2 linked regions of the Macaca fascicularis genome follow. The protein of the gene in region 2 purifies or fractionates together with the protein of the main gene of each other region. This does not show direct contact. Links are inferred from orthologs where the notes say so. Each region holds a gene or a part of one and is shown on either strand. Other genes may lie near its edges. The genes, in order: ZNHIT2 and ECD.

Evidence for each region.
Region 1: the proteins of ECD (region 2) and ZNHIT2 purify together in Homo sapiens (affinity purification with mass spectrometry; 3 studies listed by BioGRID and IntAct, counting the BioPlex papers as one, with this or other methods). This does not show direct contact. The link is inferred for Macaca fascicularis from reciprocal best matches to the Homo sapiens genes ECD and ZNHIT2.

Annotation. Positions count from the first base shown.
Region 1 is NC_088388.1:9,247,914-9,260,069, forward strand, and holds ZNHIT2 (zinc finger HIT domain-containing protein 2), read left to right. Parts: upstream 1-5,686; 5' UTR 5,687-5,754; coding exon 5,755-6,969; 3' UTR 6,970-7,008; downstream 7,009-12,156. Other genes in the region: MRPL49 (large ribosomal subunit protein mL49), read right to left, coding at 777-854; FAU (ubiquitin-like FUBI-ribosomal protein eS30 fusion protein), read left to right, coding at 1,397-1,471, 1,566-1,710, 2,174-2,229, 2,407-2,532; delta(14)-sterol reductase TM7SF2, read right to left, coding at 7,359-7,519, 7,814-7,936, 8,017-8,097, 8,332-8,500, 8,581-8,700, 9,857-9,960, 10,038-10,232, 10,589-10,643 and 3 more; VPS51 (vacuolar protein sorting-associated protein 51 homolog), read right to left, coding at 11,852-12,112. UniProt on the Homo sapiens protein: May act as a bridging factor mediating the interaction between the R2TP/Prefoldin-like (R2TP/PFDL) complex and U5 small nuclear ribonucleoprotein (U5 snRNP).
Region 2 is NC_088383.1:73,216,839-73,229,317, forward strand, and holds part of ECD (protein ecdysoneless homolog), read left to right. Parts: intron 1-1,728; 5' UTR 1,729-2,057; coding exon 2,058-2,328; intron 2,329-5,519; coding exon 5,520-5,637; intron 5,638-9,399; coding exon 9,400-9,487; intron 9,488-9,601; coding exon 9,602-9,780; intron 9,781-11,611; coding exon 11,612-11,804; intron 11,805-12,479. UniProt on the Homo sapiens protein: Regulator of p53/TP53 stability and function. Inhibits MDM2-mediated degradation of p53/TP53 possibly by cooperating in part with TXNIP. May be involved transcriptional regulation. In vitro has intrinsic transactivation activity enhanced by EP300.

The sequences.
Region 1 (12,156 bases), on a different chromosome or scaffold from region 2:
ACTTAAGGCTTAACTTTCTGCCTCGGTTTTAGGAATAGATATTATTATTACATTGGCAGCGTAACCTTGTTTGTACCTTCATGATTGCCTGGCTGGCCTTGCTCACCTAATCACATCTGTGATTGGATATAGTGGTGTTTAATCTTATGATTGCCTTAACAATTAAGGCAATCAGCCGGGCGCGGTGGCTCACGCCTGTAATCCCAGCACTTCGGGAGGCCGAGGCGGGCGGATCGCGAGGTCAGGAGATCGAGACCATCCTGGCTAACACGGTGAAACCCATCTCTACTAAAAATACAAAAAAATTAGCCTAGCGTGGTGGCGGGCGCCTGTAGTCCCAGCTACTCAGGAGGTTGAGGCAGGAGGATGGCGTGAACCCGGGAGGCGGAGCTGGCAGTAAGCCGAGATCGCGCCACTGCACTCCAGCCTGCGCAACAGAACGAGACTCTGTCTCAAAAAAAAAAAAAAGAAAAAAAGAATTAAGGCAATCATAATTCCCTACGCACACTCATGCTAGGATCCCGCCCCTTATCTGAAACGTTTTGGCTTACATAGACACTGCCAGGCACTGTGTTAAGTGCTCCCAAAGAGCACCGCAGTCTACCACTTTCTCTCTCGTTTCTGTATCTACACTCGATCGGGAGACAAGCTCTTCCGATCGAAAACGACAAAACTAAGGCCCCAAGTAGGAATGCCTTAGTTTTCGGGGTTAACAATGATTAACACTGAGCCTCACACCCACGCGATGCCCTCAGCTCCTCGCTCAGCGCTCTCACCAACAGCCGTAGCCCGCAGCCCCGCTGGACACCGGTTCTCCATCCCCGAAGCGCAGCCCGGAACATGGTAACGGCCATCTTGACCTCGTACGCCAGCCGTCTGTGCACGCAACGGTCTGGTTCCGCCCCCTCCTGCGCGCGCTGCCTGCCCCTGGCAGGCTCGCCTGTGCGAGCGTAAAGGGGCGGAGCTAGGGTCGCCTTGGGCGGTACAAATATCAGAGACCCGCGCGGTCGCTCAGTAGTGACGTGATACGCAGCTCGCGGTCAGTACAGACGCGCCCTCGCTTCTTCCTCTTTCTCGACTCCATCTTCGCGGTAGCGGCAGCTGGGACCGCGGTTCAGGTAAGAATAGGGCCTTGGCTGGATCCGAAGGGCTTGTAGCAGATTGGCTGCGGGATCAGAGGGCGCGGGGGAAACTGAAGAACCAGGCCGGCTCTGTGGCCCTGCTCCAGTCCCTATCCGAATTCTTCGGGAGGCCTGGCCTTCCCCACGTGAGCCGCCGCGACCACCTCCATCCCATCGCTATCGTTTCTGGACCACTTTCCATTCCCAAACCTCCTTTATCCCAGAGCATTTCTTCGCTTCTCTTACAAGCCGTATTTCTTTACTCAGTCGTCAACATGCAGCTTTTTGTCCGCGCCCAGGAGCTACACACCCTCGAGGTGACCGGCCAGGAAACGGTCGCCCAAATCAAGGTAAGGCTGCTTGGTGCGCCCTGGGTTCCATTTTCTTGTGCTCTTCACCCTCGCGGCCCGAGGGAACACTTACGAGCCTTATCTTTCCCTGTAGGCTCATGTAGCTTCACTGGAGGGCATTGCCTCGGAAGATCAAGTCGTGCTCCTGGCAGGCACCCCCTTGGAGGATGAGGCCACTCTGGGCCAGTGCGGGGTGGAGGCCCTGACTACCCTGGAAGTAGCAGGCCGCATGCTTGGAGGTGAGTGAGAGAAGAATGTTTTTTGAACTACTGGTAAGCGTCTAGTGGGTAGGGGGTGCATAGTCCTGGCAGCTGAGTGTCACACCTATGGTAATAGAGTACTTCTCACTGCCCTCAGTTCAGAGTGATTCTTCCTGTTTACATCCCTCATGTTGAACACAGACGTCCATGGGAGACTGAGCCAGAGTGTAGTTGTGTTTCAGTCACATCACGAGATCCGAGTCTGGTTATCAGCTTCCCCACTAAAATTAGGTCAGACCGGGGCCCCCAAAGTGCTCTAGAAAGTTAGAAGCTGGAAAATCCTGAAATGAAACTTAAGATTTCAAGGTCAGATATCTGCAGCTTTGTTCTCATTACCTGTTGGGCCCAGCTTCTCTTTAAAGGCTTGAATTGAGGAAAGAGGGGTTCTGCTGGGTGGCACCTTCTTGCTCTTACCTGCTGGTTCCTTCCTTTCCCATTACAGGTAAAGTCCATGGTTCCCTGGCCCGTGCTGGGAAAGTGAGAGGTCAGACTCCTAAGGTGAGTGAGAGTATTAGTGGTCATGGTGTTTGGACTTTGTCTTTTCCTGTCACAGCTAAATCAAGTCCCTGGGTTCTTACCCGGTTTGCCTTCTCCCTCCCTGGAGATGAGCCTGAGGGAAAGGATGCTAGGTGTGGAAGACAGAAACCAGGGCCTGATTAACCCTCCCTTCTTCAGGTGGCCAAACAGGAGAAGAAGAAGAAGAAGACCGGTCGGGCTAAGCGCCGGATGCAGTACAACCGGCGCTTTGTCAACGTTGTGCCCACCTTTGGCAAGAAGAAGGGCCCCAATGCCAATTCTTAAGTCCTTTGTAATTGCGGCTTTCTCTAATAAAAAAGCCACTTAGTTCAGTCATCGCATTGCTTCATCTTTATTTGCAAGGCCTTGGGGAGAGGTTGGTGCTGTGTCCCCTGTAAGAACAGTGAGGCAGAAAAGCCGTTGGTATAGGGGAAGAAATGGTAAACTGCAAGAGGAATTTTCTGTGAAGAAACAGTAGCCACAGATCCTGGGGCTTCAGGTGTAGAATTGGAGTTATTCCCTATCCTAAGTAACTTGATCAGTCCCCTCAAGTCATTCTTTTTCATCTTCTAAACAGAGAAGGTAGCAGGAATCATTGTGGTGAGACGTTTGTTATGGAGGCAGCAGTGGGAGGGATGGGTGGGGGAAGAGGTTTGTATAGAAGGTGAACCTGGTCATTCCCTGAACTTGATACCAGCTGTGGCCTTAGAGTCCAGGGCAGGAATCTGGTCTGCCTCGGTTTTAGAAATAAATATTACGTTGGGTGCATGGTCTCGTTTGTACCTCTATGATTGCCTGGCTAGACTTGGTAACCTAATCACATCTGTGATTGGATATAGTGATGTTTTGGTGTTCCCAAAAGTTGGATTATCTCTGGGGCTGATTCAGGGTTGCCTTCTAGCAACTGAGCCTCCCAGCACTTCTGAACCCCACTTACTCATTCAGCTAAAGTTTCTGGACCTGCCAGTTCTTGGGAAATAGCATCCAACAGGGTAAAACCCTTGGGCTGTGGACTTTGAATGCCTGAGTTTGGACCTTTTTTTTCCTAATCCATTTACTGGGTGGCTGGCCTTTGAACTAACTACTAATTTAATCTCTGCCATCTCCAGAGCTGCTGTGAAGGTTAAAGGATGTAGTGTGTGAATCTTGGCTATTTTCGTCTCGTGGTGTTAAAGACATGCTTTCTGCTTTCTAGCAGTTTAGAAAGGGGGAGGATGTGGACAGATACAATAGCATCCCAGAGAGGGCCTCTTTTTTGTTTTTCTTTTTTCTTTATCTTTTATTGAGACGGAGTCTCCAACCTCCTGGGTTCGCACCATTCTTCTGCCTCAGCCCCCAGAGTAGCTGGGACTACAGGCATGTGCCACCACGCTTAGCTAATTTTTTGTATTTTTAGTAGAGATGGGTTTTCCCTATGTTGGCCGGGATGGTCTCGATCTCTTGACATTGTGATCACCCGCCTTGGCCTCCCAAAGTGCTGGGATTACAGGTGTGAGCCACAGCACCCGGCCTTTTTTCTTTTTGAGTCAAGGTCTCTCATCCAGGCTGGAGTGCAGTCGCATAGTCATGGCTCACTGCAGCCTCCAAGTCCTGGGCCCAGGTGATCCTACTCAGCCTCCCAAGTAGCTGAGGACTGCAGGCATGCACCACCACTCCTGGCTAAGTTTTTGTACTTCTTGCAGAGACGGGGTTTTGTTGCTGTGTTGCCCAGGCTGGTCTTGAACTGGGCTCAAGTGATCCGCCCACCTTGGCCTCCCAAAGTACTGAGAGTACAGGTGTCAGCCACTGTGCCCAACTGAGAGGTCGTGTTTAAATGACATGTGTGAGACCTGAGATGAATAAATCAAGTGATCAGGTAGGGGAATATTTTAAGCCAAGAGGACTGTATGAAGATGGGGAAGAGGTGATGTCTAGGGGTGGGAGCAGATCCTGCAAGGCCTTGTCAGCCATGGAGAGAAGTTTGGGTTTGAGTCCAAGTGCAATGGAGGGTCGCAGAAGGGTTTTGAGTAAGAGAAGGATCTGATCTGACTTGTGATCTAATTTATCTGGCAGGTTTTTCTGGAGGGCTGGCAAGAAAGGAAAAACACAATGTGTTGTCATCCACGTGAGGGGTCAGGAAGCTTAGACCACCAGTAGTAGTAGTAGGGATGCAAAGAACACTCACAGTTTGGTTCATCACACCTCCACTCCACCATAAGACTGAGCTCTGTTAGAACAGGGACCCCCAACTCCCTTTGATGTGCATTGTGTTCTTGGCACCTAGAATGGGGCCTGCACTTAATGAGATGGATGAATAGTGGTATTTAATAAGATACTTAATGAAGAGTCAGTTTTGGAGGAAAAATAGGAGCTCAAATATTTCTTTTTTTTTTTTTTTTTTTTTTTTTTTTTGAGACGGAGTCTCGCTCTGTCACCCAGGCTGGAGTGCAGTGGCCGGATCTCAGCTCACTGCAAGCTCCTCCTCTCGGGTTCACGCCATTCTCCTGCCTCAGCCTCCCAAGTAGCTGGGACTACAGGCACCCGCCACTTCGCCCGGCTAGTTTTTTGTATTTTTTAGTAGAGACGGGGTTTCACCGTATTAGCCAGGATGGTCTCCATCTCCTGACCTCATGATCCGCCCATCTCGGCCTCCCAAAGTGCTGGGATTACAGGCTTGAGCCACCGCGCCCGGCCTCAAATATTTCTTAAATACTGCTTTTTATTTGTTTTTTTGAGGTGGAGTTCCTCTCTGTGGCCCAGGCTCCCAGGCTGGAGGGCGGTGGCGCGATCTCAGCTCACTGCAACCTCCACCTCCTGGGTTCAAATGATTCTCCTGCCTCAGCCTCCGGAGTAGCTGGGACTACAGGCACCCGTCCCTCACGCCCGGCTAATTTTGTATTAGTAGAGATGGGGTTTCTCCATGTTGGTCAGGCCGTGGTCAAACTTCTGACCTCAGGTCATCTGCCCGCCTTGGCCTCCCAAAGTGCTGGGATTATCGGCGTGAGAGCCACCGCACCCGATCCCAACTGCCCTTTTATTCGTCTGTGTCCTCTAGTGCATTTTATTTGTCTGTGTACAGCGCAGGGATGCATCGCCTTTCTGAGGCTTGGCACAATTAGTGGCCCAGGGTAGGTGTTTAGTAAAAGTGGATTTCTGCCACAGCGCATTATAGAGCTAAAGAGAGAGGGTTTTCTCTTTAGATGATCGGGCCACGTTTTGGTGTGACCGCTAGGGGGAGAGGTGGCACCGGCGGAGCGCTCGCCAGACCCATTTTTCCGCTCCTTGCGTCATCGCACAGGGCGGGGCTCGTACCTGACGCCCGGCGTCTGGGCCTGCTCTCACCCTACTAGGGAAAGGGGTGGGGCTCGGCTTTCCGGCGTGGGCGGAAATTGCTCAGAATCCTCGGGAGCTTTGCGAAACGACAGACCGTCGTCGACCCCGCGGTGAGCCGGAAGTAATTGAATAAGCCCCGGAAGTTTGGAACTATCGCCGGCGTGCGTTCGCAGGTAGATCGCGGTGCCGGTTGCTATGGAGCCGGTCGGGCCTTGTGGTTTCTGCCCGGCGGGGGAGGCCCAGCCCGCGCGTTACACCTGCCCTCGCTGTAATGCGCCCTATTGCTCGCTGCGCTGCTACCGGACGCATGGCACCTGCGCAGAAAACTTCTACCGTGACCAGGTGCTGGGAGAGCTCCGCGGCCGCAGCGCCTCGCCCAGCCGCCTGGCAAGCGCCCTACGCCGGCTGCGTCAGCAACGCGATACCGAGGACGAGCCTGGGGAAACAGGCCTTAGCCCCGGCCCGGCGCCCGGCGGCCTCTCGGGACTGTGGGAGCGGCTGGCGCCGGCCGAAAAAACTGCCTTCGAGCGGCTGCTGAGCCGTGGTGAGGCCGGGCGGCTGCTTCCTCCATGGCGGCCGTGGTGGTGGAAGCGCGGAGCCGGACCGTGGCGGCTTCTGGAGGAGCTGGATGATGTCCCGGGCAGTGATGCCGCGGGGCTGGAGCCCGCCCTTGCGAGGACCCCGCCGGAATCTATGAACGATGCCTTCGCCGCGGAGCTCGCGGCTGCCGAGCTGGTTCTTGGAGATGTCCCGGGGGCCTGCACGCCCGCCATACCCACCCGCATCCCCACGCTGGTCAGCCTGAGCCGCGGCCCAGTCTCGCCGCTCGTGCGCTTCCAGCTGCCCAATGTGCTGTTCGCCTACGCGCATACTCTCGCCCTGTATCACGGCGGTGACGACGCACTGCTCTCTGACTTCTGTGCTACACTGCTCGGCGTTTCCGGAGCCCTGGGTGCCCAGCAAGTCTTCGCCTCTGCGGAAGAAGCCCTGCAGGCCGCAGCCCACGTGCTGGAAGCAGGCGAACACCCGCCTGGGCCCCTGGGCACACGAGGGGCTATGCACGAGGTCGCTCGCATCCTGCTGGGTGAGGGCCCGACCAACCAGAAAGGCTACACGCTGGCAGCACTGGGAGACCTGGCAAAGACCCTGGGCCGTGCCCGGAAACAGGCTGTGCTTAGAGAAGAGCGAGATCATCTTTACCGGGCCCGGAAAAAGTGCCAATTCCTCCTGGCCTGGACCAATGAAAATGAGGCGGCCCTCACACCCCTGGCTCTAGATTGCGCCAGGGCTCACCAAGCCCATGCTGTGGCAGCCGAGGAGGTGGCCGCCCTCACTGGGGAGCTGGAGCGGCTTTGGGGAGGCCCCGTGCCACCTGCCCCAAGGACTCTCATTGAGGAGCTCCCTGGCTGAACTGGGGACCCTGGTCATTAATAAAGCTGTGAGTGGTCAGCCCTGTTGCCTGTTTCTGAAGGATAGTTATTGTCCTACCAGGCCCCCAGAGTCCTGGGCCCACAAGCCACTGCTCAGCTTCTCCCTGATCAGTGCTGACCCAGCCAGTCCTAGGGGAGAGAAGTGCACCAATGGTTCCCAATGTTTATCCAAAGGAGGAAGAGCATCTCCGATTTTGGTCACTGGTTTCATTTTTTTCCTTGCTCTAAACCACCTCTTCTCTGAGGCTGTTCATCCTCAGGGCTGGGTGGGGTACAAGCCCTTGAGTCCCAAGTGTGTCCAGGCTCCTGGTCTTGGGTGTGCTGGTGGATGAGTGGGCATATGTCCCCACCTGGGGTGGTGGAGCCGCTTCAGTAGATGTAGGGCACGATGCGGTAAGGCACACGCCGGCAGTACTCCTGCCATGCCAGGCCATACTTCTGCAGGCACTGCCGCTCATCCCGGGCCTCACGGTGCACCAGCAGCGCGGTGAAGTAGAGGAGGTAGAAGTAGGGCAGCAGGTGTGACACCCCTGTAGAGAAGGAGGCTCTGTGACCACCCTGCCAGCCCCCTCCACCCCCCAGTTCGCAAACATTTCCACACCTAATGGCTCATGTGGGCATCAGGGCTCAGCAGCAAAAGCTCCAGGGTCTGCATCTAGGCATACCGTACTAGGTTGGCACAGAGGTGTGCCCCAGCCACACACTGGGTCCATCCCAGCTCTCTGACTACTCTCACTGGTGCATACCCAAAGTAGGCATCCTGTGGTCGCTGAGCCACCCCTTCCCCTCATATGTTCCTGCCCCTATCCACATGGGCCACTCACCACAGGGCAAGGACCAAGCCAGAGCCATGATGAGGTCTCCAAGGTAGTTGGGATGGCGGACCATACCCCACCACCCAGACACCAGCAGTTTCCGCCCTGTGGCTGTAGAGATGGTCTCAAGCCCTGGAGAAAGATAGCAGGTGGGGAGTTCCCAGGAAACCCAGCGGCCCCACCTCACCCATGGCCCTAGAGACCCAGCTCACCAGCCACTCTGGGGTCAGAAGGATTCTTTCGGAAAGTGTTTTTCTGGGAATTCGCCCCACGGAAGATGTAGTAACCAATAGCTGGTGAGAGAGTGTGAAAAAGTGGTCAGGGTCAAGGGTTGCAGCCTCCTGCCTGACCCTGACCATCTGCCCAATCTGTCTGCAGCCCAGACTCTGCCTGGACACCCAGGACCCCACCCCTGGCTTTAGAGAGGACCCTGGCAGTTAGCACCTATGTGGTGTGCATGTAAACAGAGCATGAATGAAAAGGAGAGGGGAAAGATGGGCCCAGCCTGCTGCCCCTTCCTGACTGACCATTGATGAGGCAGATGGCGGAAGCCATGGGCAACCCCAGGGGCTGCGGGTGGCGCAGCAGGAACTGGGCTTGCAGGCTGTAGGTGAAGGGCACCCAGGCTATGTCCCCAAATGCCAGCATGAAGCCAAACCCGTCATGTGTGATATCCATGGTGGTGAGGATGGCCTCCTGCAAGGACAAGACCCAGACACACTGGCTTAGTCCCCATGCGGCCCTCAGATACCCACCCTTGTCCAGTCCAGCCTCACCTCATGCCAGAGGGCATCACCCACATAGAGTAACTGGAAGCCATTAACCAGCCACATGGCCAGTGAGGGACTGCCCCGAAGTTCTGCCTCCTTCACCAACAGGGCCAGGTTGATGAGGACCTGGGGGAGGGGGAACAGGGCAATCGTCTCCACAGAGGTGGCAGCCCTGGGCAGAGCAGTGGCTAACCTCTGCCCTTCTCAGCTGTCAGTTACACTCCAACCCTGTGTTAAGTGGATCCAGGCCTTGGACCCAAGGACAGAGACTTAGACAGGGAGGTGTCCGCAGCTTGTTGTTTCTTGCCTTGAGTGTCCTAAGCTCTTGCAGAGAGCAGCCCTGGGAGCAGTTGGGGGCTGAGGCTTCAGAGCTCAAACAGACCTGGTTTCAAATCTCAGCATCACCTGGGCAGGTTGCTTGCCCTCTCCATAGCCTACTTTCCCCACCCCTGTGTGAAAAATGGGAATAATCATGGGCCTGTCGTGACTCAATGGCATCATCGTGTTTGAAGTCCTCCACAGCGTCCCTAGCAAGTGGTACGTGCTCAGTGGTGGCTAGCCAGAGCAACCCTGTGCTGGGTGCCTGCATTTTACCCTGAGCTCTGTTCTGTCATACAGATTACCTCTTCTAATCTTCCCAGTAATCTTAGGAGAAAGCTTTAATTTTATCCCATTTCACAGATGAGAAAGTGGCCTCAGAAAGTGTTGTCAGGCCAGGGCCCAGATCCAGGGTGGGCACTTGGCACTCCTGCCTGGGGTAAGATAATTTCCAAGGCAACAGGAGAGGCCTTGCCCAAGAGTCTCTTTGGGTCATCTTGGCCACAGAACCAGAGATCACAGTTGGAATGTTGTCAAGGCCACCAGTGACGGGTAGGTTGCTAAACCCAGTGATCAATTTCAGGTTGTGCACTGCTTTGACCACCAAGCAGCATGCGGTCACTCCCTGGAAATAGATTTTGTGCTTGACTGCTGTTGAGAATTGCACGTGCTCTCCTGATGTTATCCCTGACATGCTATATATACTTTACTTATTTTTTGTCAGTCTTTCCCACCAGAATGTAGGCTCTCTGCGGCAAAGATGTTTTTCTTGCCTCTAACTTTATTTTTGTCTCCCAGTACCTAGAGCAGTGCCTAGGGCACAGGTGGATTTAACAAATGTTTGTGGAATAGGAATGATTAATGATTCGTGTCTGCACAGTTTTGGCCCTGCCCTGCCCAAGCGCTGCTCACCCACCCTAACCCTCCCCCTGGCCTTAGGCCAGCTCAGTCAAGCCCAACATACCCAGCCGATGAGGCCAGGTCGCAGTTCACAGAAATATTTGAAGTCGAAGAAACAGATACGAGGGTTGAGCTCCCGTCCCAGAAAAAAGTCGTAAATCGGATTGCCTGGAGAATATTGGAGAGTGAATGTACAGGCAGACGCCCCGATCTGCCTCCATCTCCACCCCTAGAACCCCTCTCACCTGAGATCCCCCCAGGTGCCAGGGCCGAAACTGGGGCTACCTGCGCCTTCATGTAGAGAAAGAGGCTGAAGATGAAAGCGGTGAGGGTGGCGACAAACGCCAAAGGCAGGAGCATTTCCGGGAGCGCCCCCAGAGGCAGCCCCGCTGACACCCCCAGCCCCACCAACAGGGCTGTCAGCACCAGGGCCTGGAAGCCTAAACCACAGCACACAGTGAGCCCTGGGGCTGCACGCCTCCACATCCCCACCCTGCGAACACACACAGAGCCCAAAACTCAGGGGGGCCGCAGACCCTGCCCCAAGCATTAGGCTGCCACCCTGGCCTTCAGAGGATCACCCCAGCCACTGCTGTGGTGCACAGTGTAGCAGTAAATGGGGTAAGGGTGTGGGGACGAGGGGCTTAGGGCGAGCCCCCGGCGTCTGTCCTAGGGCTCACAAAGAGGCATACAAAGGAGCCTGGGGTGGGGGCCAATCTCCGTGGACCTCCCCGCTAGGGCTGGAGCTCCACCCCCGGCCGCTTAACTCCAGCGCGAGGGCCCGTCCCCCAGGCACCGTTAATCGGATAGCGCAGGCGACTCTTGTCCTTCAATTCCTGCCCCTCAGCCACCTGCGGGTCCAAGGGGGCTCTGATAAGGCCCGGGGCGTCCTCTCCCTCGCCGAGCCCCTCCGACTCCCTCCCCCGAGCGTGCGCGAGCGGCGCCCGCACCTTGCGCGCCGGCAGTAGGTAGAGCGCCGCCTGCAGGCCGAGCCAGGCGAGCCACAGCAGCAGCGCCCGTGGGCTCCACAGCGCCTCCAGCCCAGGCAGGGACGCGGGTGGACCCAGCAGGCGCGCGGGGCCCGAACGGGCCGCCAGGAGCAGGTGGAACATGGTGGCGGGCAGCAGCAGCAGCAGAGCCGCGGCGCCTGCGGGATGGGCCATCACATCGGGCGTCCGCCCCCAGCGCCCCAGCTCCCGCCCCGTCCCCCACGGGCGCTGACGTCTCTGCGGGACCCTTTCGGCATTCCCAGAGTGTGCCTCTGCACCCCTCCTCAGCCCTCAGGCACCCCGCTGCCTCCCAGTTCCCTTCCCAGGCGTCCATCTTGGTCCCCCGCTCCCCCCTCGAAGACCCTCCTCCTGCTCCCAGTCGACACCATAAATCCCCGTTCTGCAGCCCCCAGAACTGACCCCTGCTCAGCTCTCCCTCTCCAGACACCTTCGCTGCAAACCCCCGGGTCCCTCTGCCTCGGACACCCGCAAAACCTTCCATCCTCAGATCCTGTCTCCGCTCTTAGTTCACCCCCTCCAGCTCTCCTTCGCTCAGCCTTTGCCCCAGGTCCCTTCTCGCTGCCCCATTACCCAGGGGCCCTCCGAATTCCAGCGGGGCCCGGGGGCCCTCAGGAGGGGCCATGGTCTCCGCTCCGCCGGAGAGAGGGCGCTCACAATAGTCGGTCAAGGAAACACAGTCCGCCCCATTTCCCAGGAGATGGACTTGTCCGCGCGGAGGATCCGGCCCCGCGGCGCCTGCACCTGCCTGGACACCGAGTGCAGACAAGGACCGCTCTTGTCCCAGGGTTTTTTAATGGACCCGCCCCCTGCCCATCCTGGGCCCAGCACACCAGCCAATCGGCACTCAGGGGCGGACCCGACGCGGGCGCCTCAGAAGCCTCAGCTTCAAAACCCCGCCCTCGGAAAGGCCCGCCCAGCAAGCGAGAGGAGGAGGCCACACATGTTTATTAGGTAGGTCCTGACACCTGCCTGCGGGGACCACCGGGCGGAGACCAGAGCCTGGGTGCCATGGGGCGCCGGGACAGGCCTGTGCATGGCAGCGGCTGCGCCTAGCCGCGCTCGCAGATGACCTCGACCACACTGGGCTCCATGGGCACAGGGTCTGGGCAGCGCAGGGCAGCCGAGGCCACCACTTCGTCTAGCAGCAAGTGCACCAGTTCTTCGTCGGCCACAAAACGCCACAGGTACAGCTGCAGAAAGTGGCAGTCCACTTGCACCTGCTGCAGCCCGAAGCGCCCAAAGGTGCGCAGCCGCACACACTCCAGCAGCGTCTTCAGGCTGATCTTGATGATGCCAGTCAGCACCGACACCTGCAGACAGGTACACAGGGATGCAGCTTGGGGACAGCAGGTGT
Region 2 (12,479 bases):
ACTAATTTGTTGGAGCTAAAAATGAAAACAGTTGAACTTATGGAGATAGCAACTAGAAGGATGGTTACCAGAGGCTGGGAAGGGTTGCAGAGGGTTGGTGGGGGAGTGGGATGGTTAAAGCGTACAAAAAAATAGAGCAAATGAAAACTAGTATTTGGTAGCACAACAGGGTAACTGTAGTAAATAATATTTAATTGTACATTTTAAAATAACTAAAAGTTCAGATGAGAGCACGTCCTAGCTACAAAAAAAATTTTTTTAATAAAAATAACTAAAAGAGTATAATTAGATTGTTTGTAACACAAAGGATAAATGCTTAAGGCGATGGATATCTCATTTACCTTGAGGTGCTTATAATGCATTTTATACCTGTATCAAAATATCTCATGTACCCCACAAATACATACACCTACTATGTACTCTTCAAAATTAAAAAAGAAAAAAAAAAAACAGCACTGTGGGAGGCCGAGGCAGGCGGATCACAAGGTCAGGAGTTCGAGACCAGCCTGGCCAATATGGTAAAACCCCATTCCTACTAAAAATACAAAAATTAGCCTGGCGTGGTAGCAGGCACCTACAGTCCCAGCTACTCGGGAGGCTGGGGCAAGAGAATCGCTTGAACCTGGGAGGCAGAGGTTGCAGTGAGCTGAGATCTCACCACTGCACTCCAGCCTGGGTGACAGAGCGAGACTCCATCTCAGGAAAAAAAAAAAAAAAACAGAAAAGAAAGATATACCTACCATCCCATGAGACTTGAAAAAGGGGCAAATTTAGGACAGAGGTAAGATGACAGGACACGAATGTTTTGTAGTTCTCTACACCATACAATGTTCATAAAAGAGAGAAATGTACATTCTGCAGAGCAAGATAGATTATGCTTTAGAGTTTAAGTAACAAAATTTTAAAGCAGGGAGAGATTTTAGAGATGGTAGATAACTTATCCTAAATTAAAGAAAAAAACCCAGAAAGAGAAAGTGAAGTGTCCACAGTGGCACAGCTAATTAGTGGCAGAACTGGGGTTTTTGATATAGTATGTAAACAGTGGATATTAGTGCAGTGTTTCTCGAAATATGTTACACATACCACTGCTAGTACAAGGGCAAACATTAAAAATTTCATTCTTTACTTCCAAAATAGGAAAAATATAAAAAAGATTTTATTCTTACATACGTATTAATTGGGGAATGTGATACTGGATTTCTATTCACTGTATTATATCAAGGTTTCCTTGTAACGTAATTTTAAAGATAAAGTTTTAAGTGTAAAGTGTCACTAAAAATAATATTAGGCCAGGTGCAGTGGCTCATGCCTGTAATCCCAGCACTTTGGGAGACCAAGGCGGAAGAACTGCTTGAGCTCAGGAGTTCTAGACCAGCCTGGGCAACATGGCAAAACCTTGCTTCTACTGAAAATACACAAAAAAATTAGCTGGGCATGGTGGCACACACCTGTGGTCCCAGCTACTTGGGAGGCTGAGGTAGGAGGATGGCTTGAGCCTAAGAGGTGGAGGTTGCAGTGAGCTGTGATCATGCCACTGCACTCCAGCCTGGGCAACAAGAGTGAAACTCCAACTCAAATAAATAAATAAATGAAGTTTAAAACATTAAATAAATATTACTGTAGGTGGTGTGTGGTCAAGGCAAAAACCATGATGATGGTATGTGGCTAACTAAATTTTATTTATTATTTATTTATTTATTTATTTATTTATTTATTTATTTATTTTAGATGGAGTCTTGCTCTGTCACCCAAGCTGGAGTGCAATGGCATGATCTCGGCTCATTGCAACCTCTGCTTCCTAGGTTCAAGTGATTCTCCTGCTTTAGCCTCCTGAGTAGCTAGGATCACAGGTGCCTGCCGCCACACCCAGCTAATTTTTGTATTTTTAGTAGAGACGAGGTTTCACCGTGTCAACCAGGCTGGTCTGAAACTCCTGACCTCCAATGATCTGCCTGCCTCAGCCTCCCAAAGTGCTAGGATTACATGCATGAACCACTGTGCCCGGCCTAACTAAATTTTAGAAAACAGTGTTCATAGAGTCATCTAAAAGAGTTCAGATGTTACTTCTGCATTGTTCTATGTGGTTTATATTTTGGAACTTTAAATGTAGTTTTCAAAGAAGAATGGAAGAAACCATGAAGCTTGCTACAATGGAAGACACAGTGGAGTACTGCCTGTTCCTGATACCAGATGAATCAAGGGACTCAGATAAACACGAAGAGGTTCTTCAGAAGTATATTGAGAGAATAATGACTCGGTTTGCACCTATGCTGGTCCCCTACATCTGGCAGAATCAGCCTTTCAATCTCAAATATAAACCTGGGAAAGGTAAGGCTCTTTTACTTGTGTGGATTAGTGTGACTTTTAATGTTATCCTGACAACAGTGATGTGTATGTGTAATAGTCCACACTTCATTCAGTGTTGGCAGGAAGAGATTAATGCACTAAACTTTTTAGGTAAGTAATACTTGTCTATAATCAGTTAGCCATAAAGCTTTGTTTTTAAAAAAAATCATATTAATGAAAACTTTCTAAATCTGCCTTAGGAATTAGCATATACTAAACATTATTAAACTCATGGCTATTCTTTTGAACTTTAGTTGCTATACTATGCATAATGTATCTAAGTATCTATACTAAACAGTTTCAGGTATCTGGCTTTAATTATGGTTCCTTTTTTGCTGTTACTCAGTATTCCTTATGTTGATGTGTTGAGTAGGCTGCCTTGTTTCATATAGCCATTTTGGGGAGGATCTGAGTGGCTCTGCCCGGCTTATAAAGATAAATAATTGGGCTTTATGGCTAATATTTGCCACTTATAAGCATTTTGAGGTTTCTTCATTGCTTCCCTGTGTTGTTGGTGCTTGAGATCTGACCTCTGGCAAAATACGGCACTCTGTCCTGTTATGAGAAAAACCCAGAATTAAAGTAGGAGGGAGCGGAGAGACCAAAGAATCACTCGAACAGGTCTGTCTTAGCAAGTAGATGAGTTTATTAGGACTTACAGACAGGACACTCCTGGGCAGCATCAGGACAGCTCCAGAAATCTGCCCCACCTCCCATCTTTAAGCTGCTTGTAAGCTAATTTTTTGGCTCTTTGCCTACTGCGTATATGCAATGACACTGTTTTCCTTGGTATGTTCCCAGCTATGCCCTGCAATGTTTGGGTTCTCAGGACCTGCTCCTCTGCTGGGCATGATGGCTTTGGCTTGCCAGCTGGCCTTCGAAGTTTAAGCAGCAGACATATACCCTTAAGTAGCCTGGTGGGGAACTGGTCACACTACAGTTATGTCATTTCTTATAGTTTTATGAAAATAAATCATGGATAGGTGACCAAGTCTCTCTTTACACAGTGACTTATGTGAGGTCTTATTTAGGATCAGGAGCCTGGCATCTTGTGATACCATCACAAGATACCCCCATGTATACATCACAAGTATACATCACTGTGATACTCTCAGTTTAGTGCTTATCTCTTATCTTTTGGCTAGCAATTGCTACATATCTTCCCTACTGTTAATTTTATTGAACTCTTATTCATTGACATACATATGATATTTATTGACAAGAACACTGTCACATTGGTGCAGCACATCTAAAACCAACCCTTTCTCTGTCTCTAGAAAACCATTTTTACTGTTTTCTTATCTTGTTTAATGGCATTGCCATCCACCCAGTTATCCAAGCTAGTCAGTAATTCAAAATCATAATCAGTTCCTCACTTCACCATGTTCAGTCAGATGCTAAATCCTGAATGCTTCTAAAATATGACCCCTTCTCTACATCTATTTGGCTTCAATGTAGGCCCTCTTTATCTCTACATTTAAAAAACAACAACAGCCTCCTAACTTACCTCTCTGGTTCCTGTCTTTCTAGTTCCTCACACTGTTGCCAATTACGTTTGTAAAACAAACTTGATTGTGTCACTCTCCTGCTTAATATCCTTCAGTAGTTCCCATTGCTTCAAGATGAAATTTAAATCGAAGTCTAATATAGACAAAAACAGTTACTTTAATTGTATTCTCTAGTTGAAGAAACTTGAGATCTGGGGTGGGGAGAAGAAGAGTTGGTTGGGCTGTTCTTCTACCTATTGTTTGCCATGGCAACTCTTGAGACACTCTGTAATGCACTTGTTTGACCTTCATTCTGTTAATGTGGGATATTACTGTACATTGATTTTCATGTGTTGAACCATCCTTGCATCTCAGGAATAAATCCTACTTGGTCATGGTGAATAATCTATTTAATGTGCTGTTGAATTCAGATTGCTGATATTTTGTTAAGAATTTCTGCATTGATATTCATCAAGGATATTGATCTACAGTTTTCTTATATTGTCTTTGTCTGGCTTTGGTGTTAGGGTAATGCTGGCCTCAGAAGGGATTTGGGAATTCCCTCCCCTTTATTTTTTTTGGAAGATTTTGAGGATTGATGTCAAATTCTTTAAATGTTTGGAAGAGGTCCGCAGTGAAGCCAGCTTTTCTTTGTTAGGAGCTTTTGGATTATTGATTCAATCTCCTTACTAGTTATAGATCTGTTCAGATTTTTGTATTTCTCATGATCCAGTCTTGACAGGTTGTGTATTTTTAGGAACTTGTCGATTTCTTCTACATTATCCAACTTACTGGTATACCATTGTTCATAGAATTATATCTTTCTTGTTTCTATGACATAAGTTGTACTGTCTCCTCTTTGATTTCTGATTTTAGTTTTTTGAGTATTTGCTCTTATTCCTGGTTAATCAAGTTAATAGTTTGTCAATCTTTTCAAAAAAACCCAACTCAGTTGTTTTGTTTTTCTGTTATTTTTTCTGGTCTCTATTTTATTTATCTCTACTGTAATGTTTATTATTTTCCGTATGCTAGGTTTGGGTTTAGTTTTTATTTTTTGTTTTGTTTTGGTTTTTTTGAGGTATAGGTTGTTGATTTGAGGTCTTTCACACCTACAAACTTCCTTTTTAGCACTGCTTTCACTGAATTCCTTAAAGTTTTGGTATGATGTGCATTCATTTTCATTCGTCCCAAGATATTTTCTAATTTCCCTGTGCTTTATTCCAAGAGTGTGTTGTTTAGTTTCCATGTATTTGTGAATAGTGCACATGTTTGAAAACTTGTGCTCCATCCAAATCTAGCGTCGTGGTATTCCCAGAATACTCTATACATACATACTTTGTACAGCATGCCTTTGTGCCTTTGTACATGCTTTTCTATTTTTCTGGAAAGCTCACCTCTTGTCATTCCTCCAGGCAAGCATAGCACAGATATCCCCTCCTTTATACTCACATAGGCCTTACTGCATACCCCTGTTCTAGAGTTCATTATCTTGTTTTGAGATCATTTGGTTGTCTTGTTTTACCCTGAGCTCCTCAGGAGTAGGCTTCTTCTTCAGGAGTGCAACCCCTGCTCCCTAGTACTTAGAGCAATCAGTCAATGAATGTTTATTCAGTTGAATGATTATGTGCATTTTATTTGCAGTAACAAATTTATCTGTTTACATGGTTGCTTTTCTCTTGTTTTTAGGAAGTGTTCCTGCTCATATGTTTGGCGTGACAAAGTTTGGGGATAATATTGAGGATGAATGGTTTATTGTTTATGTAATAAAGCAGATCACAAAGGAATTTCCAGAGTTAGTAGCAAGGTATTGTAGTTATTTTAATTATTCTAAAAGAATTCTATTACTGAAACAGTGTGACTACATTTTTATATATTTAGTAATTTATTTTTCTCCTGTAGTCTGCTGGAAATTGTACAGATTTGAAAAGTATCTGTGCTTTTTTTTTTTTTCTGAGACAGAGTCTTGCTCTGTCGCCCAGGCTAGAGTGCAGTGGTGTGATCTTGGCTCACTGCAGCCTCCACCTTCCGGGTTCAAGCGATTCTCCTGCCTCAGCCTCTCAAGTAGCTGGGATTACAGGCGCGTGCCACCATGCCTGGCTAATTTTGTGTTTTTAGTACAGACAAGGTTTTACCATGTTGGCCGGGCTGGTCTTAAACTCCTGACCTCAGGTGATCAACCCACCTCGGCCTCCCAAAGTGCTGGGATTACAGGCATAAGCCACCATGCCCAGCCTTATCTGTATTTTCTTTCTCTTCTCTTGTGACTTCCTTTTCTTGAGAAAGAATTAAGGTAGTATCAAAGAGTTCAACTTCCAAAAGATTTCAAATAAAACCTACTTATTTTAGGTTTTCTTTTTAAAATTCTAATTATGAAAAAACAAATACATGTGGTAAACAAAATTCAGATGATACAAAGGGTTCTACTGCTCTGCTTCCCAGAAGTAATCACCATTAAATTCCTTATGAATCTTTGAAAAATAAAATTCCATTCATACACATACATACATAGTTCACATATTTTTAAATGTGTATTCCTGTACTAGACCATAGCTATATTTTTTGAGAACTCATACACAGAAACAATTTAAAGAGAAGTCAGTGAACAATCGTATAGGAAGCTAAGTAGGTAACACCGTTAAAAATGGGACCCGAGTTTTCTGTAATTACCACGTATTGCCAGCAGAGGGCGTTCCGCCCACTTATATTTTATCCTAGTTTTCCTAGTCAGCACCCAAATTCTGATCTTTTTTTACCCAACCAACCTCTTTCCCAACAGAACAAAAAAGAGGGGGGAAAAAAAAACCTTTGAAAACTTAGTATTTAAATTTTAAGTATACATTAAAGTAGAGAGAATGAACCCACATGTTCCCATTATCCAGCTTCAACAATTACCAACTCATGGTCATCATTATTTGATCTGTGGCTGTCATTTGATCCTTAAATACTTCAGGATGTAAATCTAAGTGATAACTCATTTTATCTTTATCTTTAAATACATTTATTTAAAATTTTAAAATTTTTAAGTTTACTTATTATTTATTTAGTTTTTTAAAGACAGGGTCTCACTGTTTTGCCTGGGCTGGACTTGAACTCCTGGGCTCAAGCCATCCTCCTGCTTCAGTCGCCCGAGTAGCTGGTACTACAGGCACATGCCACTGTGCTTTATTTTATTTCATTTTATTTTATTTTTTTGAGACAGCGTCTCACTCTGTTGCCCATACTGGACTGCAGTGGAACAATCTCGGCTCACTGCAACCTCTGCCTCCTGGGCTCAAGCGATTCTCATACCTCATCCTCCTGAGTAGCTGGGGCTATAGGCGTGCACTACCACACCTGGCTAATTTTTGTATTTTTTGTAGAGACAAGTTTTCACCATGTTGACCAGGCTGGTCTCAACCTCCTGACCTCAAGTGATCCACCCGCCTCAGCCTCCCAAAGTGCTGGGATTACAAGTGTGAACCACTGCATGAAGGCTATTTTTAAAATTGACAAATAAAAATTGTGTATATTTATTATGTATAACATGTTGTCTTGAAATACATATATATTGGCCGGGCACGGTGCCTCACACCTGTAATCCCAGCACTTTGGGAGGCCGAGGCGGGAGGATCACGAGGTCAGGAGATCGAGACCATCCTGGCTAACAACAACAAAAAAAAATACAAAAAACTAGCCGGGCGAGGTGGCGGGCGCCTGTAGTCCCAGCTACTCGGGAGGCTGAGGCAGGAGAATGGCATAAACCCGGGAGGCGGAGCTTGCAGTGAGCTGAGATCTGGCCACTGCACTCCAGCCTGGGCAACAGAGCGAGACTCCCGTCTCAAAAAAAAAAAAGAAATATATATATATATTGTAGGATGGCTGAATTGAGCTCATAACATACATTACTTCACATACTTATTGTTTTGTGTATGGTGAGAACATTTAAAATCTACTGCCTTAGCAAGTTTCAAGAACACAATACATTGTAGGCCTGGGGCGGTGGCTCACGCCTGTAATCCCAACACTTTGGGAGGTTGAAGCAGAAGCATCACATGAGATCAGAAGTTCCAGACGAGCCTGGCCAACATGGTGAAACCCCATCTCTACTAAAAATACAAAAAATTAGCCAGGTGTGGTGGCCCATACCTGTGGTCCCAGCAACTCGGGAGGCTGAGGCAGGGGAATCGCTTGAGCCCAGGAAGTAGAGGTTGCAGTGAGTGTGATTGCACCACTAATTCCAGCCTGGACGACAGGGTGAGACTCTGTCTCAAAAATAAAATAAAATAATAAAAATAGAAGTATAGAGCTAGAACGGTATATAACAGTATAGAAAATATGCTATGTCTTGTGTAAAACAGGGAGAAAATATAAATATATATTTATATAGCTAGATTATGTGTAAGCAAACTCTAGAAGGATATACAAGAAACAGCAGTGATGCGTGTAGGGTTGAGCAGATAGGGACAAAAGTAGGAGGAAAACTTTTTCATTTTGCAACTTTTTTTTTTTTTTTTTTTTTTTTAGACGGAGTTTTGCTCTTGTTGCCCAGGCTGGAGTGCAATGGTGCGATGTTGGCTCACCGCAACCTCCGCCTCCCAGGTTCAAGCAATTCTCCTGCCTCAGCCTCCCGAGTAAGTGAGATTACAGGCATGCGCCACCATGCCTGGCTGATTTTTTTTCGTATTTTTAGTAGAGACGGGATTTCTTCATGTTGGTCAAGCTGGTCTTGAACTCCTGACCTTAGGTGATCCGCCCACCTTGGCCTCCCAAAGTGCTGGGATTACAGGCGTGAGCCACCATGCCTGGCCATGTAAATTTTAATATATTTTTAAAAAAATTTAACCATATGAATGTATAACCTATTTTTAAAAGTAAAATTTTAAAAAGTGTTGCAGGCTGGGCATGGTGGCTCACACCTGTAACCCCAGCACTTTGGGAGGCTGAGGCGAGCGGATCACTTGAGGTCAGGAGTTTGAGACCAGCCTGGGCAACATGGCAAAACCCTGTCTCTACTAAAAATACAAAAATTAGCTGGGCATGGTGGTGGGCACTTGTAATCCCAGCTATTCGGGAGGCTGCGGGAGGCTAAGGCAGGAGAATCGCCTGAACACAGGAGGTGGAGGTTGCAGTGAGCCGAGATCACACCACTGCACTCTAGCCTGGGTGACAGAGCGAGACTCCGTCTCAAAAATAAGAAAAAAAGTAATGCAAATGAGTCAGAAATAATTATCTTTTCAGGCCCAAATAACACCTCCTACATGAAGGCTTTTCTAATCTCAGCTATATTTTTTTTTGCTTTTGGAACCCTATAGTACTTTGTATATTTTCATATTTTTGTCTAATATTTCTTTATGTAAATTGCTTATCTTCTCTCCTTATCTCTACCTTCAACTCCTCCTTACAATCTTATTGTCTCCTTCAGTGCTTAATGTTATCTTAAACATTTTGCTTTCTTATAGCCATCTGCACATAGTACCTATTCAAATATTTACTAAGATGAAGAGGAAAATGTATTAGAATAAAACTGTTCTGGTTACTAGCAGATATGTGCTTTTTGAATGCAAAATTGGAAATTTTCTTGCATTAGGATTGAAGACAATGATGGTGAATTCTTGTTAATAGAAGCTGCTGACTTTCTCCCTAAATGGTTGGATCCTGATAATAGCACCAATAGGGTAAGTATATACAAGTTTAGAAAATTTGTAGAGATGAAATCATGCTGCATTACAGTCATATGTACCTACAGTTTGCCAGTGCCCACTATGAAAATTAAAATGTACCATTTGCAGGTATTTTTCCACCATGGAGAATTGTGTATTATTCCTGCACCAAGAAAACCTGGAGCGGAATCTTGGTTACCCACCACACCCCCAACAATTCCACAAGCATTGAATATAATCGCAGCACATCCAGAAAAAATACTTGCTTCAGAATCTATACGAGCTGCTGTGAGTAGGCGCATCAGAGGGTAAGAAAAATATCACTTACATTGCTAATTAAGGAACCTTTTGGTTTCGTGTAGTTCAGTCTTTCTTTGATTTTTGCTTGTTTTCCTTAAAGCTCTGTTGGAGTTGATCAGTCTTTCTTTGACTGTAAAATATCTTTCACCTAGATTAATGCTAATTTTCATTTTGTCTTCATTCTTCTTTATGGAATAGACTAATACATTAAACTTAGAGATTTTAAACGGGGGCAATAGATACATCTTTAAATTCCCATTCAGAAGTGTTACAATCTTGTCCCAATATTTTTGCATTTATACACCTTAGATATTGTGGCTAAGTATTAGCTATATCCATGGGTAAAAAATTTGAGACCTTTAAAAATAGAAACTTCCTGGACCTGGAGCGGTGGCTCACGCCTGTAATCCCAGCACTTTGGGAGGCTAAGTGGAGGGCAGATCATGAGATCAGGAGTTCAAGACCAGCCTGGCCAACATAATGAAATCCCATCTCTACTAAAAATACAAAAAAAAAAAGGCGGGACGTGATAGCAGGTTCCTGTAATCCCAGCTACTTTGGAGGCTGAGGCAAAGAGAATCGCTTGAACTCGGGAGGCGGAGGTTGCAGTGAGCTAAGATCGCACCACTAGACTCCGTCTCAAAAAAAAAAATAAATAAATAAAAAGTAGAAACCTAATGGAGCCCAAACAAGGTGCTCAGGTTTTTTCTGTTGTTTTGGGTCTATGTATGGGATTCTTTGACCTATGTCAGAATTCTTTGACCTATGTCAGCTTTATTTAAAGCTGAAGTTTTATTCAGAAAAGAAAGTCTTAGCTTAATAACATATTAGTTCATCCATTCAAATTTGGGTGCCTATTAAATAGTAAGCACCGTTCAGGTATTAACAATACTAAAAATCTTTTTGGCCGGGTGCAGTGGCTCACGCCTGTAATCCCACCACTTTGGGAGGCCAAGGTGGGTGGATCACGAGGTCAAGAGATCGAGACCATCCTGGCCAACATGGTGAAACGCCATCTCTACTAAAAATACAAAAAATTAGCCGGGCATGGTGGCAGGCCCCTGTAGTCCCAGCTACTGGAGAGGCTGAGGCAAGAGAATCACTTGAACCCAGGAGGTGGAGGTTGCAGGGAGGCGGAGGTTGCAGTGAGCCGAGGTTGCACCACTGCATTCCAGCCTGGCGACAGAGTAAGACTCTGTCTCAAAAATAATAATAAATAAAAAATAAAAATCTCTTTTAGCTTCAGCATACTTTGCACCATTATTTTAGAAAAATAAACTCTGATTTTATGTTTATTCCAAAGTATAATTGGTTTTTTTGTTTTGTTTTGTTTTGTTTTGCTTTTGGGGTGGAATTTTGCTCTTGTCACCCAGGCTGGAGTGCAGTGGTGTGATCTCGGCTCACTGCAACCTCCGCCTCCCGGGTTCACGCAATTCTCCTGCGTCAGCCTCCTGAGTAGCTGGGACTACAGGCATGTCCCACCACACCCAGCCAATTTTTTATATTTTTAGTAGAGACGGGGTTTCACCATGTTAGCCAGGATGGTCTCAATCTCTTGACCTAGTGATCCACCCGCCTCGGCCTCCCAAAGTTGTTTTGTTTTTATTGAGCTACCATAATCCCTTTTCTTTATTTTCCATTTCTTCCTACTTTTTTCTTTCCCTCTCTTCTTTCTTATAGTATTAAGTGTATATACAGTATCTTTTTTCATCTCTCTTGTCACTCTCTACATACTGCTCTCGATGAACAAAGAGAAGATGTCAAAAAGAATGTGAATGGTATAAGAATTCTAGGTATTTATATACTGTAAAATGAAAGTAATTATGTTACCTGTCCCAGGTACCCAGAAAAAATTCAGGTCTCCCTTCATCGAGCACACTGCTTCCTTCCAGCTGGCATTGTGGCAGTGCTAAAGCAGCGCCCCAGATTGGTGTCTGCAGCAGTCCAGGCATTTTACCTACGAGACCCTATTGACCTGCGAGCCTGTCGTGTTTTCAAGACATTCTTGCCTGAAACACGAATAATGACATCGGTAAGATTTCTATCTTGGTCATTTAGTTTCTCTTACTGGAAACAGAGTTGAAACATTATTATTTTTCTCTTTTTACATTTCTCAGTGCTCAGTGAATGAAACATTACTTTAATTGTTCTCTAGAAAGAAAAAGGAAATATTCTGTTTCTTCATAGCGTGTTAATATAGGTTGAATATTCCTTATCTGAAATGCTTGGGACCAGAAGTATTTCGGATTTCAGATTTATTTGGATTTTGGAATATTTGCATTATACTTACTAGTTGAGCATTCCAAATCTGAAAATTCTGAAATCTCAAAACTTTGAGCATATCATTGGGACTCAAAAAGTTTTGGATTTTGGAACATTTTAGATTTCAGATATTTACATTTGGGATGCTCAAACTATACACATTTTTTTCTTTTCTTGCACCCAGTGAAGGAAATTTTCAAGAGACCTGCCTCCCCATTTTATACTCAATGTTTCATAGCTATTTTTGACCATATTTTTCTATTTCTGTAATTATTTCCTTTTTTTTTTTTTTTTTTTTTTTTGAGACAGAGTCTCACTTTCTCACCCAGGATGGAATGTAGTAGAGCAATCTTAGCTTACTGCAACCTCTGCTTCCTGGGCTCAAGTGATTCTCCTGCCTTCTGAGTAGCTGGGATTACAGGCACCTCCCAACACGCCCAGCTGA